Tribolium castaneum: one gene and its partner. The protein of the gene in region 1 interacts with the protein of each later gene in a biochemical or structural test. Links are inferred from orthologs where the notes say so. Each region holds a gene or a part of one and is shown on either strand. Other genes may lie near its edges.

Region 1 (4,616 bases):
CACGTTTGCCAGCTTTAAATCAACTTTGGGTAAATCCCAGAAAATATTGTCGGATTTTTGCTGGACGTGACTTAACGACGGGAAAATATCAAAATCCGATTCTTCAGTACTAAAAATTCGCACCTTTTCCATCTCTTTTTTCAAAGAAGACGGAACACCACTCATCAAAAACTGTCTTCTTGCTTCCATTGCTTCCGGATCTAATTTTGGTTTTGGAACAGCTTTTAAGAAAACTGGTGCCACTTTTGTCTTCTTCTTCTTCTCATCGTCCGAATCAGAAAGTTGAAGAAAATCATCGTATTTTTTCGGTTTTCGGGATCGTAAAACTCTGCGTGAGGCATTTTCGTCGGAAACAGAGTTGGCTGGGTCCACGTCGAGTTCGATGACGTCAATGCCACTGTCACTAGACTGCGTATTGACAGGGGCATTTTCAACTATCACCACGTCTGCAACACTTCCTTGGGCATTTTCAACACTCTTTTGAGCATTTTCAACACTTCCTTGGGCATTTTCAACACTTCCTTGAGCATTTTCAACACTTCCTTGGGCATTTTCAACACTTTTTGGGGCATTGTCAACACTTTTTGGGGCATTGTCAACACTTTTTTGGGCATTTTCAACACTTCCTTGGGCATTTTCAACATTTCGTTGACTGTTGACAGACGAATTTTCAACATCACTCCTGTCATCCACGGCCAACTTGATCTTAAATTTCCACTTTTTGTTGGCAGTTGGTGTTTTTGGTGCCTCGTTCTCACTGTCACTTTCAATTACAACAGTTTTCCGCTTCTTCCTTTTAGTGACCACCTCATCGTCACTTTGACAATCAATATTTAGCAACTTTTTCAATCGTTTTCCCCGTTTCTCCAGCTTGTAACTGATGCAATTGCCGACTTCCTCGTACTCTCGTTTACGTTTGGCAGCCCCCTTGGCCTCCGCCCAGCTCTCAAACCGACTTTTCCTCTCCTTTAAGACACTTTTATCCGAGGCTGTTTCCGAGTCGTTTGCGTCAGGTTCACGCCCAGGGGAATTCCCCCCAATGCTCCGATGTCTTCGATTCATCATAAATTGAAACGCGTTGATTTTAGCCCCATTTGGGGAAGTTTCGGGGGTTTCTTCATTGGTGTGCTTGTTTTTCTTTGATTTTTTACCGGTCTTTATTGGAGTTGAATCTTTCATTGTTCCTAAATCATGTTTTGCTTCGATAACACACTAAAAACTGCACTAAAACACAATACAAAAAACTTGGCGCCAAATCAGCGCTTTGTTGACATTTTTTGTAGACTTTAAGGTTAGGTTTCTTGTGGCTAAGGTTACGTAACACGAAATTAAGTGTAATTCACAAACCAAGCCCCACAATTGATATTACGCGATTTGTGATCTTTACTGATACGAAACTGGGTTGTTTTAAGTCAAAATATCAGGGTAAAACCCCGCACAACTCATTATTTGTGTTAGTGACTGGTGGTTTTGTCAGGTTGGTCTTTTCCCGAACTAGCCAACAGTTGGCTTCCTGAGTGAAAGTAAACGTCAGTCTTGTGGTATTACGTCAAAAAATAAATTTTTTCGTCCTGAAAAGCCTCAAAACGCCTAAAAAATTGCAGTTTTTGTCGAATTTCGAGCATTTGTGATCACGCAACTATGGATCTTTGAGTCGGATCCGTAAATTACATAATGTTCTTCACATTCAAGTAGTTTCCTGTGCCAAAAAACATCAGGTAATTTTTTGTCCCAGCTTGTTTATTGTGTTGATTCTTATTAACTAATCAAAAAAAAATCAATTAGTGTGAGTTGTAATCCCTTGATAATAATTTCGTTTATCGGTGGATTGAAAATGTGGGCCATTCGAGGTCTCTGCCCCCAACACATGGCCTGCTAATTGCTAATTTACATAACTGCATCAATGGGGGCTCAATATACTTGAAAAATCCGTGTTTACGATTGGGGGAACTTTGATACGGCCAAGTGAATCATTGGAACAATTCCCAGATTTTTATGTTAAAAATAAATCCCTTGTGTCTGTCACACTACAGATAATGCGTTTTTTATCAGTTTTTGGGCATAATTAACTAACAACAAACGTTTTTTATTATTCTAATTGCAAAAGTAACCTTGAGATAAAATCAGTTGATTTGTGAACGCAAAAAATCGATTTGTTTTGCCGAAAAACAAATGAATAACGACAAAGTACAAAGTGGGAGGTTTGTTTTGTTTTCAATTCAATTGTTCTCATGGGTGTCGTCGCGTTTCGAACGTAGATAATGCAAATATTCAGTTTATTCCGGAATTGGACGATAAAGAAATCGACCAAGGACAGGGTCGGACTAATTAAAAATTGATTCAGTTCGATTGCATCACAATCATGGGAATGAGAAAATCGCAAGGAACGGTCAAGGTTAAGAGATACACAACTCAGTTTTTTCGAGAAATTCAATAATTTAAGTCTGTAAAAACATTCTGTCTCATTTGAGGGGTCTAGTTTCAGCTTTATGCTTTATTAAATTGTTATTAACTTTTCAGGAACGGAAAAAAACTTCATCTTTTGTAATTTATGCTTCTGTTTTGTTTGTTCTTTTTTTTCATATTATGGGGTGGCTCGTGCCTGATAGCAGGTCAAAAAAAAGAGTTGCCAGATTTAAACTTATTTACATCAGAAATGCTCCCAAAAAAAGAAGGGAAAAATAATGGACTTGCATAGAGGGAGAATCTAGTGGAGAGAGCATTAGCGGGAAACTCTGGTTTTTGCACAAACTTTTTCATGGCCACTTCCAAAACTTTCTGTTTAGTACAAATTTTGATCTAGTATAGTTAAAATATTAACCAAATATATTTGGAGAAAATACAGCTCCCCTCTGATTTTTTAGGAATGTTTTTTGATATTTGAGTTACTGTCTTTTTTTTTTTACTGTGTCTTTTCAGCGTAATGATGGACTCGGAACTGTCCAACACCGACATCTGCCGGGTGTGCCGTTCGGAAGGCTTGCCCGACCGCCCCCTGTTCCACCCCTGCATCTGCACGGGCAGCATAAAGTGGATCCATCAGGAATGCCTCATGCAATGGATGCGTTACTCGCGCAAAGAATACTGCGAATTGTGCAGTTATCGTTTCTCCTTCACTCCCATCTACTCCCCCGACATGCCACGCCGCCTCCCTGTGCGAGACCTCGCCGCCGGTCTCCTCTCCTCCATCGGAACCGCCATCAAATACTGGCTCCACTACACTCTAGTCGCCATCGCTTGGCTCGGAATCGTCCCTTTGACAGCCTGTCGGATCTACCGCGCCCTTTTCGCCGGCACTGTCGACGCCATCTTGACCCTTCCGTTTGAACTCCTCTCAATGGAAAACCTGGCATCGGACATTTTCCAAGGTTGCTTCGTCGTCACGTGCACGCTATTCGCATTCGCTGGGTTGGTGTGGCTGCGCGAGCAGATCTTACACGGGGGAGGACCCGATTGGTTACAGAGAGATAACGTGGGCGTGGCCGAAGATGCCCCACCTCCCGTCTTGAATAACAACATACCGGAAGACGTGGAGGAGAACAACGGACAGGAGCCAGAAGTAGCACCTCAAGGGGAGAATCAGGGGGAACAACAGGAGGAGAATGAAGTGAATGGAGGCGAAGACAACAATTGGATACCCATGGAGTGGGATAGAGCGGCCGAGGAGATAACATGGGAGCGTTTGTTGGGTCTTGATGGTTCTTTAATGTTCCTGGAACACGTTTTCTGGGTCATTTCGTTGAACACTTTGTTTATACTCATTTTTGCCTACTCCCCGTACCATATGGGTCTAATGACTCTTTCCCTTGTTAATATGAGGGAGGCGGCTTCGGCCAGTCATTTCGAAGGTTTATTGACCACTTTGGTCGGTTATTGCACTGTTGGTCTTTTCTTTGTGTTCTTCCATCGAGTCGCCGGTGTTTTGGGTTTTTACAAAGCTAAGCGCGTCCTAGGTTTGTGTTACGTGGTGGTTAAAGTATCGATGCTTTCGGTGGTTGAAATCGGAATTCTACCATTGGTTTGTGGCTGGTGGTTGGATATTTGCTCTTTGGCAATGTTTGACGCTTCGCTCAAAGACAGGGAGAGTAGTTTTAGTGCCGCTCCTGGTACTTCAATCTTCATCCATTGGTTGATCGGAATGGTCTATGTCTATTATTTCGCTTCGTTTGTTCTCCTCTTGCGTGAAATTCTAAGACCAGGAGTGTTGTGGTTCTTGCGCAACTTCAACGACCCTGATTTCAGTCCAATTCAAGAAATGATCCATTTACCTATCTTGGAACATATACGGAAATTGTTGATCTCGGCGGTTATCTTCGGTAGTGTTGTTCTTTTGATGTTGTGGCTCCCGATTCGAATTTTGAAAATCCTTCTTCCGTCTTTTCTCCCATATACAGTGTCCCTCAACAGTGAGACACAAGTGAATGAACTGTCCTTAGAATTGTTACTTTTACAAGTGATCCTCCCAGCATTATTGGAACAATCCCACACGAGGATCTGGTTGAAAGGCCTGGTGCGTAATTGGTGCCGCGCCGTTGCCTGGATTTTAAACATCCATTCGTATTTGTTGGGCAATAGTGACGGCCAATCGCCGAACGAGGCGGGGCAAGCTGTAGCCA
Region 2 (3,386 bases), on another chromosome or scaffold:
AATATTAATAAAAAAAATTGAGAAATGATCTGTGGATAGGATCAACGAGATCAACTGATAAAAATTTGTGTAGGCAACCCAAATAACTCATTCGTAAACCACGAAAGGTCAAAAATGGTGTTTTTTCTAAGCTTTGCAGCAGGTTTTTGGCTTAAAATGTAAGTCTTTTGAACCGAAAATACCAATATATTCAATATATTCGTGTTTTTTTTTCGAGCGTATTTGCTCGATTTTCATTCTTTTGTTTCCTATTTGTCTGCCTTATGCCTATTTCCGGAATATAAAATTGAAGCGGACTTTCCTACTTCAATGAACGTTTGATTTGTGGAGTAGTAAATTGAGTCAGCTTTGTTTTGTTTTTTTTATTTTATCGATTAGTCATTTACGATTTTTGGATATCAAACACCTGTTATTACTCATCAATTACATCTTGAAGTAACAACGCATTTGAACAAATTTTTGCTTGATAAGTGATAGGTGCGTGAAATGAAACACTTGGAAAAATGGGAAAAAATATATTCATCATTACAACCAATATGTATTATGATACAAATATTAATAACAATAATACTAGGATTATGATATATTACATAAGTTATTTACATTGAGAGATTTAGGTTCGTTAACTGTTGATAATGTTTTAAGTAAAAAAGTTCAGCTGAAACTACAAAGAACCCTAAACGTGTGCTCTAGAAAAAAGTCTCTTAAATTTCCTACAAAGATTAAATATCCTGCGCCGTTCTTGACAATTGCGAAAACTAAAACCAAAGAAAAGTAAACTTAAAATGTGACTTTTTCAACCCTATTATCAACCCTATTCAGCTTCAGACGCCGTTGTTATTACTACGTATTTTACCGTAATCGCAAATGCAGCAACACCAATAAATACTATCAAATTAGTAATACATGATTGGAAATTGCTGGGTTCTGCTACTGACCGAGAGGTTTTCTGGTTCTCTGCCACGTTATTATTCATGTTACTCCGTTGCGTCAGCACGTCCTATTTAAACAAAGGTCAAAACATCGCATAGCCCCCATAACCAGATACAAACCTGGATTTTGGTAACTGTGTCTGGAAATAAATCACAAAACTCCTTGTCTTTGAGATTGAATTCAAGCGAGTGGTAGGCAAACTGCCGCTTGTCGTACTCTGACGTTTCTATGCTCCCCAAAGTGGGGCTCTTTTCAAGCTAAACCAAAAAATTACGAAAAAGTACATTGGGAAATAGTTCATTACCATAAAACTGAGAAGCCCTGTGAGTATTGTGGAGACGCTCCACGCCGGATTCCACGTATCTGGATGAAAGTCCGATATACTCAAGCACAGCTTCTTGTTAGTCCGAAATCTCCCATTAGGCGTTATCATATAGATAGAAGGGGGCTTGAAGGGGAACTCGCGCGGAAAAACCAACTTCCCGTGGTAGAAGCCCCCTTCATATGGCGTATTTTCCGGCCCGCACACCACATAGTGCCTAAAACTGGCTCGAAAACAAACCTTTTGGGTGCCTCAGCACTCACCATTCCAGGATATTCGAGGGTAGAGGTTCGGCGGTAATGTAGGGCACGGGGTCACGTTTCAGCCTCAAATAGTCCTGTTTGAGTCGCGAAGTGGCACTATTTGTCTTGCGATTCGACATTTTCAACTAATTGTACATTCTTGAAAGTGAGGTTAGGAGCACTCAAAACGTACTTAATTTGTGCCTCTTATCTGTGTTTATCGCTCGGGGCACGTAATCAATCAAAGTCGAGAGGATGGGACGGGGGCGCGGGGCGGTGATAAACAACAAGTGATTTTTTTGAGTTTTTCCGAAAAATTGGTAAAGCGACAAATGACGTGAGAGTGAACTGTCCCGAAAACATCTGACGTAACACTTTTCTGCCAAAAAAGCCAAACAGAATTTTACAAAGGCCCACAAGTAATCATAAGCTAAATAAATAAATAATTTAAAGACGAAACCGTACTAAAAATTTGATAATTTCATCATTTATCACCGTGGGGTAGGCAACCAACAATGCGGCACATGAACGGGGATTCCCATGTAAAATAATCATCGTGAGGTTTTTTTAAAAAATTTATTTTCAAAAGTGACATCGGCGAAAAGTTTAATCATAAAACATTTCCGTGATATCGACACTAGGCACCATTGCGGTTTCCCTTAGCGTTAGTAAGAGAAAAGCAACTGTCGCAATATCGAATATAATGTAAAACAAAAACGTATAAGTGTGAATCATGAACTAAAAAAAACTCGTTAATAAATTGCCCCAAATTCGCCAACGTGGTACCCAAAAAGGTAAAAAGCACCCAACAAAAATAAGTTGGACGATCCAGTACAACATCACCGTCATAGAAACGGTGATGGGTCTGGCGAAATGGTTCGAAATTTCTGCCGTAAAGAACCACCCAATGGTACCAGCGCCAAGCGCAAAAAACATCACATATAGATAAATCAGAACGACGGCGATTGTGTCAATGGCTTGATTAGGTCGCACTGAAATTGACTAAAAATGAAATGAAGAATTGTATTTTTTCCCAATCACTCACCATTAGAATCATCGTGAGAGTAAAACAAAACACTGTTAGCACCATACCGAAATAACTAGCCAGCAATAGAGGCTTGCGGCCCACTTTGTCCACCGCAAATACGCACACAAGGGCGCAAAACCAGTTCACGAAAGCTAGACCTAGAGCCATTGCGTTGGCTTTGAAATCGTCGAAGCCCAGGTGTTCGAAAATTACGCACGAAAAGTACAACAACTAAGGGCACGGTTTAAAATATGTTCAAAAAATTTGCCCACTTACACAGGTAACTCCTGTCATTTGTTGTCCCAACATGACGACAGCCGAGATTATTAAAGGGTTCCTCAAAGTCTCATCTTTGAACAGCCGTTCTATTGTCACTGGTCCAATTTCGTCCAAAAGGGCCATTTCTTCCCTCAAATCGTCCATTTCTTCGTCGATTTCTTCCCCTTCAATGTCCGCTACCGCGTCCTCGGCTCTATCCTCATCCCCTTTATCGAACATGAGGTATTTGGGGCTTTCGGGACAAAATATAAGCATTATAGACTTAAAAGAAGCATTCTTCAAATTCTAAAACACCACTGTTTTACCTGAATTATAATCGGGCATCCCGACACGACAAAAACATAAGACCACGTCTCGATTTCCCCCATTATCGTAGGATGGGTGAAAACATAAGCCATGAAAATTGATAAAGCCACAATCAGGTAATAACAACTCCCGGCAAAGCCTCGCAGGCAGTGAGGCGAGATTTCGACCAAGTACATTGGTCCTATTCCACTGTTAATTCCGGCCGACACACCCAGAAGGACTCTTCCGAAAATCAGCAATTCGAAAGTGCTTGAAGGACTGACAAAACTCACGATGA

The links.
Region 2: the proteins of E3 ubiquitin-protein ligase MARCHF6 (region 1) and ubiquitin-conjugating enzyme E2 J2 form a complex in vitro, tested with the Homo sapiens proteins (2 studies listed by BioGRID, with this or other methods). The link is inferred for Tribolium castaneum from reciprocal best matches to the Homo sapiens genes MARCHF6 and UBE2J2.

Annotation. Positions count from the first base shown.
Region 1 is NC_087399.1:3,029,836-3,034,451, reverse strand, and holds the start of E3 ubiquitin-protein ligase MARCHF6, read left to right. Parts: upstream 1-1,516; 5' UTR 1,517-1,718; intron 1,719-2,919; 5' UTR 2,920-2,923; coding exon 2,924-4,616. Other genes in the region: elg1 (ATPase family AAA domain-containing protein 5), read right to left, coding at 1-1,179. UniProt on the Homo sapiens protein: Endoplasmic reticulum membrane-associated E3 ubiquitin ligase that plays a critical role in mitigating endoplasmic reticulum stress, the regulation of cholesterol and lipid homeostasis, and ferroptosis.
Region 2 is NC_087398.1:6,629,560-6,632,945, reverse strand, and holds ubiquitin-conjugating enzyme E2 J2, read right to left. Parts: upstream 1,945-3,386; 5' UTR 1,638-1,944; coding exon 1,519-1,637; intron 1,473-1,518; coding exon 1,238-1,472; intron 1,191-1,237; coding exon 1,053-1,190; intron 1,001-1,052; coding exon 815-1,000; 3' UTR 759-814; coding exon of another isoform or gene 677-758; 3' UTR 501-676; downstream 1-500. Other genes in the region: solute carrier family 2, facilitated glucose transporter member 3-like, read right to left, coding at 2,104-2,235, 2,284-2,499, 2,543-2,755, 2,801-3,064, 3,109-3,386. UniProt on the Homo sapiens protein: Catalyzes the covalent attachment of ubiquitin to other proteins. Seems to function in the selective degradation of misfolded membrane proteins from the endoplasmic reticulum (ERAD).